Linked DNA regions of Coturnix japonica. The protein of the gene in region 1 interacts with the protein of each later gene in a biochemical or structural test. Links are inferred from orthologs where the notes say so. Each region holds a gene or a part of one and is shown on either strand. Other genes may lie near its edges.

What was found.
Region 2: of the proteins of USPL1 (region 1) and RANGAP1, one has a biochemical effect on the other in vitro, tested with the Homo sapiens proteins (2 studies listed by BioGRID). The link is inferred for Coturnix japonica from reciprocal best matches to the Homo sapiens genes USPL1 and RANGAP1.

The regions. Positions count from the first base shown.
Region 1 is NC_029516.1:156,630,912-156,635,303, forward strand, and holds the start of USPL1 (SUMO-specific isopeptidase USPL1), read right to left. Parts: upstream 2,894-4,392; 5' UTR 2,792-2,893; intron 2,052-2,791; exon of another isoform or gene 1-2,051. UniProt on the Homo sapiens protein: SUMO-specific isopeptidase involved in protein desumoylation. Specifically binds SUMO proteins with a higher affinity for SUMO2 and SUMO3 which it cleaves more efficiently. Also able to process full-length SUMO proteins to their mature forms.
Region 2 is NC_029516.1:45,361,273-45,365,858, reverse strand, and holds the start of RANGAP1 (ran GTPase-activating protein 1), read right to left. Parts: upstream 2,936-4,586; 5' UTR 2,914-2,935; coding exon 2,802-2,913; intron 2,154-2,801; coding exon 2,026-2,153; intron 1,136-2,025; coding exon 1,076-1,135; intron 459-1,075; coding exon 279-458; intron 1-278. UniProt on the Homo sapiens protein: GTPase activator for RAN. Converts cytoplasmic GTP-bound RAN to GDP-bound RAN, which is essential for RAN-mediated nuclear import and export. Mediates dissociation of cargo from nuclear export complexes containing XPO1, RAN and RANBP2 after nuclear export.

The DNA.
Region 1 (4,392 bases):
AGTTCCTTTGAAAAAAGATAGTCTTGGATAGCTGTAAATACCAGTTTGATTCCAAACCACCCCTAACAGCGGGCAAGGAGAGACTCTACAGAACAGGACAGGATGCTATAGGTCAATACTGTTAGTAACAACAAAAAAAGTGAGGTCTATAAAATGTAACAACTCATTTCAAATCAATCCTCTACGACCACCTGTAGGGTTCAAAATGAGAAGATGGCATGTCCTACTGACACCTGCAATGTGTCCAGCAGCATGCAGAGATGGTATAACATAATTTATAAAACCAGAGGGTACAGTAAAAGGTGAGGACAGAAGCAACAACCCAGACATGCCTTAAGAGATCATGGTTAGTTTTCAAGTAGGGCTTGAAGGTCTACAAACAATGGGATCCCAGGCTCACTGCAGGCAAACAGTAACTGATCAGGCTTTAAGTGCACAGGTTTAATGGACTATAAATGAAAGCCAAGCACTCCAATCCTTTTCCCACTCAGCAGCAATAGCACTACCTCAGTCTCTCAATTCTCTATTACCATATACTTATTCCAGATGGGAACATGATTTCTTTCTACAACAAATGAAGTTGTGCTTGTGTCAAACACACTCAAATAGATGCTAACTGTACATTCCATACCATCGTTAATGAGAAAACATCTCTAGCTTGTTCAGAGGGCTTTTATTCAAACACTTTGCCTGAAGACTAAATGAAATACATAGATCACACACCTGGAACTCCAGGCAGTTTCTTACCATGTAAGTACAAATCATCTGCATACACTCAAAAAGGTTTGCAACACTAACTAAAGATAATTCCTTTTTAAGAATGCCTTGTTTTGATAAACAATATTTGCTTCTTTGCAAATCACTGTTTATTTTGCCATTCTTCTCAAAAAGAATGCATGTTTTTTTCCCCTGGTTATTCTCTTTATGTTCCCTGTTACTTCTGCTCTCCTTTTTTAAAGGAGCAGTACTGCTTTGAGACATACAATGCTCCCCACAGGTATCACCACCCAGCAGCAGTACTATGCTACCAGAGCCCATGCCATTGACTGCACTGATGAACAGAATAAAGACTAATAACAAAGTTATTAATTGACCTTTTATTTCAGACACACGCAAAGAAAAAAGAGTAGAGAACATTGGCCTGCTGGTCATAGATGTGCAGACCAGTACCAAGCAGCCTGTCTGTATTGTAACTGCCTGGGTACTTCAGAAATGTAATGCAAACTGTGCTGTGGCCGTGGTGCAATTATCAGGCAATGTTATGGCTCCTTGGACAGCTAAGTTGATCTCATGGCTCAGTGTTGTCTATAGGGATATCTCTCTTTTCTCAGCTTTTCCCCTCTGCCACGTTCTCTGTCAGCTCACCCTCTCATCAGCCTTCCCACAAGCTAACTGAGCACAAAACAGCTGGAAATCCAGCAAAACACAGGAGTTTCTCCTGCTGTTCTAGAGTGTCAGACTGGTCTATAAGATCTGGTAAGCTGTGGAGGTAACAGGGCAGAAAAAAGAGAACATGGAAAAGGTAGGTCAAGGATTTCTACAGCAAAAGAAACCTTGAAAGTAGGAGCAGTATCTGGGGAAACAGTACAACAAAACCAAAAAGCAGTTACAAACTGCAGGTGACAGAGCAGTGATGATATCAGGAGCAAATTTCAGTGCTTAAAGGTTAAAGGGACACTTAAAATGAAGCTCCTGTAAGCCACTGACTTCTCTCCTACATCAAGAAGGTAAAGAAGAAAGAGGAGGAAAATAAACTGAAGTCCGGGGGAAAAAAAAAGCCCTGCAGTGTTAGATGTGTTTGTTACACAAGTCATCTTTCTTTACCTGAGACGACAACTATGAATATTCACATCACAACTGTAACAAAGCACAGTACCAACAGGACATGCTGATGTCACACAGGCTGTGTGTGGGGACACAGGCACCACTTTCCTGCAGAAAAGCCTAACGCAGGCTGAAGGAAGATAAAAACTGATCATAGAATCAGAACAGCCTGGGTTGAAAAGAACCGCAGTGAATCCAGTTTCAATCCCCTGCTATGTGCAGGGTCACCAACCACCAGACCAGGCTGCCCAGAGCCACATCCAGCCTGGCCTTGAATGCCTCCAGGGATGGGGCATCCACAGCCTCCTTGGGCAACCTGTTCCAGTGCATCACCACCCTCTGTGTGAACAATTTCCTCCTAATATCTAACCCGAACCTCCCCTGCCTCAGTTTAAAATCATTTCCCCTTGTCCTGTCACTACCCACCCACAGCCATTCCCACTCTTGTTTATATGCTCCCTGATGTCACAAGATAAAGCAGCCCGCGCTGTGATGGCTGTGCTGCTCTAGAAGTTTCTCCTCCAACCAGATTTCTCCCACTGAACGCTTTAATGGGGTGCAAAGAGGGGCTGAAGTGTAACTGACTCATCACTGAGCCCTCCTAGGAGGAGTCGATTTAGGTACAAACACGACCTAAGGGGGCACGGCCTATCCTCAGCACCCGAGGGTGCTCGGCCGCCTCGGGGAGGCCTGGCCTGGTCAGTCCACATCGAGAGCGATCCACGCACTACGTGAGGGCTGCAGGAGAAAGAATATATACCGTTAATTATCACATCAACCTGGGAAACCTGCGCCTACAGACACACGTGCACTCACTGCCGTCTCGCTGCGTAGGCGTCCCACCCAGCATCACCCAAACAAAGCAGCACGCAGCTCCTGACATGAAATAGTCGGCATTTAGGAACGCTCAGAGCCGCCATCTGCCCGCTATCCCGGCGCACGGAACCCGCAGCACTCCGCTACTCACCGACCGCCTCCTGCGGCGCTGACGTTCCACCTCTTCCGTCCGCCATGCCGCTCCCGGCGGAGGCAGCTCTCCTCCCCGCTTCCCTCCTGCCCCTTCTTCCCCTTCCTCCCCTTCTTTCTCCTCCTTCTCTTCGCGGTGGGCGGGGCTGGCAGCGGTGGCGCTGCCGCCTCACAGCGCTTGGTGCCGGGCGGTTGTGTTTGGAGCGGCTCTTGTGTCTTGGGTAGCGCAGAGCTCTGGTCGGGGTGGCCCTCACCTGTGATTGCATTCAGCATCATCTAGTTAAAGCTCGTGGCTTGTGTGTGTGCTTCAGGATTAAGGTGACTTTTTCCTCCCCCACTTGTTAGTCTGGATTGACTTTGAAAGAGCTTCATAGCTGAGTTTGTTCGTATAACGAGGGGATTTCCCATATGTTGGGAAGGACAACAGGACAAGGGGAAATGGTTTTAAGTTGAAAGAGGGAAGATTTAGGTTGGATGTTAGGGGGAAGTTCTTAACTAGAAGAGTGGTTAGGCCCTGGAACAGGCTGCCCAGGGAGGTTGTGGATGCCCCGTCCTTGGAGGTGTTCAAGGCCAGGTTGGACGGGGCCCTGGGCAACCTGATCTAGTAAATGTGTATGTTTGGTGGCCCTGCCAGGCAGGGGGGTTGGAACTACATGATCCTTGAGGTCCCTTCCAACCCGGGTCATTCTGTGATATGTGTGATTCTGTGATATGTGTGGGGAAGAGTTTGAGTGTTGGCAGAGGGAAGAAGTAGAGATTTTCAGTTTGCAATGCAATATAATTTTGCTCGACCTGAACAAAGCAGCTCTGAAGTAATAGTTACTGTGTGATGCAAGCTCCAGAACCACCAGAATCAGTTTGGATGTTCCAGATGTGGACTGGGAATGACTGAGATCTAGTTGGATTTGCTGTTTATTCGGATATTGTTTCCATGTCGTGTCTGTCTGAATTTGCTTTAGTTTTAATTAACTAACAATGCGCAATGAGCATGTGGCTTATTTCTGGTTTTATTCATTTCCATCTTCACCTTCTTCAACTGTCTCTAGTTAACACAGGAAGAATAGAAATTTCAGATACAGTTTAGCATGCTGTGTAAGATCTGATATACACAGATATAGATCTGATATTTTGTGATTTCAAAAGAACAAATAGAATAACTGTCTGTAAATTAACTCTGAACTTTGGGTGTATAACATTCTGGGTGTATAGGTGGCAGATTGCTCTCAGGCTGAGAACATGTGCCGTTCATGTGTGTCTTCTAAAAATATTTTCACATGCAAATGACGTACCCGTTGGCTGCGTGCTTCTAACCAGACTGTCACTGCGAGGCTGATGGTTCCCTGAGAAACTGGATGGAGAGTGGGAGATACCAACTGAAAGCTGCTGCTTGAAAGGTTTTGTTTTTCAGGGTTTGTTTGTACTGCTCTCTTCTTTCATCGAAACCATAGAGAATTACAAGTTAAACACATGAGATGCCTTTTTGAGAATGTAAGAATGATACAGTAATTGATTGACTGTGTGTGTATGCCTCTTTTTCCCCCCCTGTTGAATGCTTAAATACATGATTAATATTGTTATATACATATAGTATGAGTTTATGGT
Region 2 (4,586 bases), about 110 Mb from region 1:
CACACATACAAAAAAAACCATACACTTTTTACTGTGCAGGTTGTCAAACACTGGGGTAGATTATCCATAGAGCATGTGAAGTCTTCATCTTTTGAGATACTCAAAACCTGACTAGATACAGCTCTGAGCAACCTGGTCTGGTTGCTTTGAGCAGGAAAGTTGGGCTAGATGACCACCAAAGACCCCTTCCAACCCCAGTCATTCTGTGATTCTGTGTAGGGAAGTCTGAAATCAAGTACTGGCTCTGATCTCATCCCCAACAAGGAGATCACCTTTACCTTGCCACCACCAATGCCCATGCCACAGTTATTGAGCTTGAGTTCCTGCAGGGTGTAACAGGCAGGGCTCTTCAGCAACGCCTCAAAGCCACGCACGCCATCTGGCCCAAAGGCATTGTCACTCAGGTCCAGCTCCACCAGCTGGGCTCCAGCAGTGATGAGTGCATCCCCCAAAGAGATCTGCAGGGAAACAGGTGACAGGGGTGAGGGCAAGGAGTGGTCTGACTGTTACTGACAGTGATGCTGCAGAAAAATTCCATTTTGAGGATGCAAAGTTGCACGGAGACATATAACTTCATAGCTAAAGCCAGAGCAGGAGTTATGCAAATCAAGCTAAAGATAACTGCAAGGAAGTCACCAAGAACTATCCCATCTTATTTGGTTAAACATACATCTTTTCAACTTGTGTTTCCTCTCTACACTGTTCAAAGAAATATTTTGTGAATTTCTTCCAGTTTAACATGTTCTTGCTCAAGGGGGAGCCCTGCAGTGCTATTGGAAGAAAAAGCCATATGCTTTTGTTTGAAAGCTCAGTTCCCATACTACCTTTTGGATCATGGAGATGTCTTCCCAAGGGACAAGCTTCTTCACTAATACAGAACTGCATTTGGCCTTTTATCAACACTTCTCCAGCTCATACAGAAGGAGCTAAAAACACATTACTTATTCTGAGACACTTAGTGTTAACAGTATAGAGAAAAACTCACTGAGTCTCAGAAATACACTCCCACAAAAAGTATGACAGGTGAGAAAATAAGTTATATTAGTTGGAAGTCTCAGATCAAATTTTTACTTACCAAAGCAGGAGGGATCTCAGATCTTAGCCTCCCAGTAAACATGTCACTCCAATGACACCTCTAAAATAAGAAACATGCAGATACGAGCCATGAAAAATATTTAGGACACAGTTGTACAGAAATTTACACATACAAGATGCATTACATTAGTATGGACAGCTTAATATAGTCTGCTGTGGCCTCTCCATTTGATTGTGCTAAGGAACTGTGACAACTAATACTACAGCTGCTCTCTTGGAAGGATGCTAAGCCACTGAAATGCATATTGTAAATAGCAGTATATAAGAATTGTTGCTTGAGCTGGAATTCTTTTCTGCTGAGAAAACTACCAACAGAAAAAACAGTAGGAAACTGAAGGACAGGAACATATATTTTACTAAGGTATGGAGCTCAACGATCTGAATTGACTTGAAAAGCCTCAAGTGGGTGGATCAATGTTTCATATTCCTCTCTTGCAAAGAGCAGTGCTTCTAGAAGCACAGCATCCTTCTAACATTAGGCTAGAAGAGAACTAGGGAAACATGGCTTGGACACAGAAAAACCTTCTGGCACATATCCTCCATCATTTCCTTTATTATTCAGGTACTGTATGAAACATCACTTGCAGAAGATCTGATCATTCTTCAGCTTTGCCATTAAAACTTGTTTTGTGGCCACAGGTCTTTGTCTATAGATGTTGCTTACACAGAGATGCTCTTTCTTGCACAGTCTCCCAGCTTTAAGACTGGAAGCCTTTTGAACAGGAACGGTTAAGTATACAGGAAGTGCTCCTCCCACTGTCTAAAAGCCTCCAAGTTCTGCTATATTTTCATATGGTTATTCTTACCACTGGAAGAACAAAGTAAGCTTTGGGGCTAACTCAAGGCAGGTTCCAGAAAGAAGAGCACAGACAGGCCTTCAGTGTTTCTGCAAAACTTTTTCTGCCCCCACCATCTGCTTGAAGGTCTCACCTTGAGCTCTGGCTTCTTCTCCAAGGCTTTGGCAATAACCTTTGCTGCCTCCACACCCACGGTGTTGCCTTCCAGACGCAATGCTTCCAGGCCATCAAATTCCTCAATTTGTTTGATCACTTCTTCAGCTGGAAAAAAATACAGTCTTGTTGGGACTTGTTACTACCATCTTAGATATCACAGTAACACACTGAGAAAGAAGTATTTGCTACACTCTACAGTTAGCCAAAACATCTGAGTAACACTATCTGAGACAATCCTGAAACAGCAATGGAGAACACAGCTACAGTGTCAGATCACTGGAGAGAATGCTCTCCATTCATCATCCTCTCTCTTCTTTCATGACTTACTTCTATTATTACCTTGACAAATATGAGGATGACTATATAAGTTTGATTCACATAGTTTAGGAATGCAGGCATCAACAAAGACAAAAAGGCCTAAAATATGATGGCAACGGGCACCACATCAAGAGGAATAAGTTCCCACTGACTGGCATAAATAGATGCCCATTTACTAAACGTGGCAGAGTGGAACAATTGTACTCTGGAATACTCTTATTCAAGGCAAAGGTGCAGGCTGCAGGCTCTCTCCTGTCACTGACACACCCAGACTCTTTCCTAAAATTTCAGTGGTTTTGCACTATTAATAAGGCATATAAAAAGCATCACTACAGTCAGTAAAAGAGGTAGACAGTATACCACATTATATCCCTGAAAAACATGCTGTTTTTTCACATGGCAGAAATGTTGATCTAAATGTATATTTTCTCTTACCATCTTCAGCCGTGTTGAGTTTAAGGCCCTGGCCTTTGAAGCTCAACTGTCCTCCACCCACTTTGGTTTTGGCAAGTGATTCTGCAAGCTTAGCAATGTCTTCCGATGCCATTTTTCTGCTTTCCCAGTGTTAAGAGCTGTCAATTAAAACAAATGGTCACCATCAAAAAGACGAACTATAATACTTAATCTGCATTAGTAATCATCTTTATAATCACCGTGTGCAGGTATTATTTCTTGAGGTACCTAATTGAGTATTCAGTGTCATTACTGTTCTCCCCATAGCTCACTTACCACAACCAAGCTAGATTAGCATTTCAAAGCCAGACAGTGTTGGTTCTTCCAGTACTGAAGTGACTTGGGTTTTGATGAAGTTGTTACACTTCCCAAATAACCAATAGCTAAAGCTACTGGAAAAGGCCACATTAAGATGTTAGTCTTGGGCACAACACTTCTACAATTAAGATGTAGAAGTGTCCCCTACCCCCACCCCTTAGTAATACATGCTGCACTGTTTTTCTCCTGTTCTCCAAACCCAGCCAGAACAAACATAACTGTTTTTCCTTTTCAGCGATATCCCCAATAGTGCCTAAGTCAGCGGAGTTCCAGAACCACAGAGTTGCTGAGAAATCATGTGTGTTGTATGTAGCTTGCTCTGAAAGTAAGGCCTCCTTTTTATTTCTATGGACACTACAACAGATACAAAGAACACAATAACTCCATTTGACAGAGGAAATTCTCAGCTACAAAACACTGTTTTTCAACAAAAGCATCATTAGCTACACATTTTCACCAGTGATGAACTAGAGCCTACATGCCACACCCAGAAAATCAGCACCAGTGGAGATCACAGAATCACAGAATGACCCGGGTTGGAAGGGACCTCAAGGATCATGTAGTTCCAACCCCCCTGCCTGGCAGGGCCACCAAACATACACCTTTACTAGATCAGGTTGCCCAGGGCCCCGTCCAACCTGGTCTTGAACACCTCCAAGGACGGGGCATCCACAACCTCCCTGGGCAGCCTGTTCCAGGGCCTAACCACTCTCCTAGTAAAGAACTTTCCCCTAACATCCAACCTAAATCTTCCCTCTTTCAACTTAAAACCATTTCCCCGTGTCCTGCCATTGTCAGCCCTTTCGAAGAGTTTACTCCCCTCCTGGGAGTAAGTTCCCTTCAGGTATTGAAAGGCTGCAATGAGGTCACCCTGCAACCTTCTCCAGGCTGAACAAACCCAACTCCCTCAGCCTGTCCTCATAGGGGAGGTGCTCCAGCCCCCTGATCATCTTCGTGGCCCTCCTCTGGACCCTTTCCAAAATCTCCATGTCTTTTTTGTACTGAGGGCTCCACACCTGGACACAGTACTCCAGATGGGGCCTCACAAGAGCAGAGTAGAGAGGGACAATCACCTCCCTTTCCCTGCTGACCACCCCTCTCCTGATGGAGCCCAGGATCCCATTTGCTTTCCAGGCTGCCAGAGCGCACTGCTGGCTCATGTTGAGTCTCTCGTCCATCAGGACCCCCAGGTCCTTCTCTGCCGAGCTGCTCTCAAGGACCACTCCTCCCAGCCTGTACAGGTGCCTGGGGTTCTTCCAGCCCAAGTGCAAAACCTTGCACTTTGCCGTGTTGAACCTCATTAGGTTCACCCGAGCCCAGCTTTCCAGCCTGTCAAGGTCCCTCTGAATGGCATCCGTTCCCTCCACCGTATCGACTGCACCACTCAGCTTGGTGTCATCAGCAAACCTGCTGAGGGTGCACTCCATTCCCTCATCGATGTCATTAATA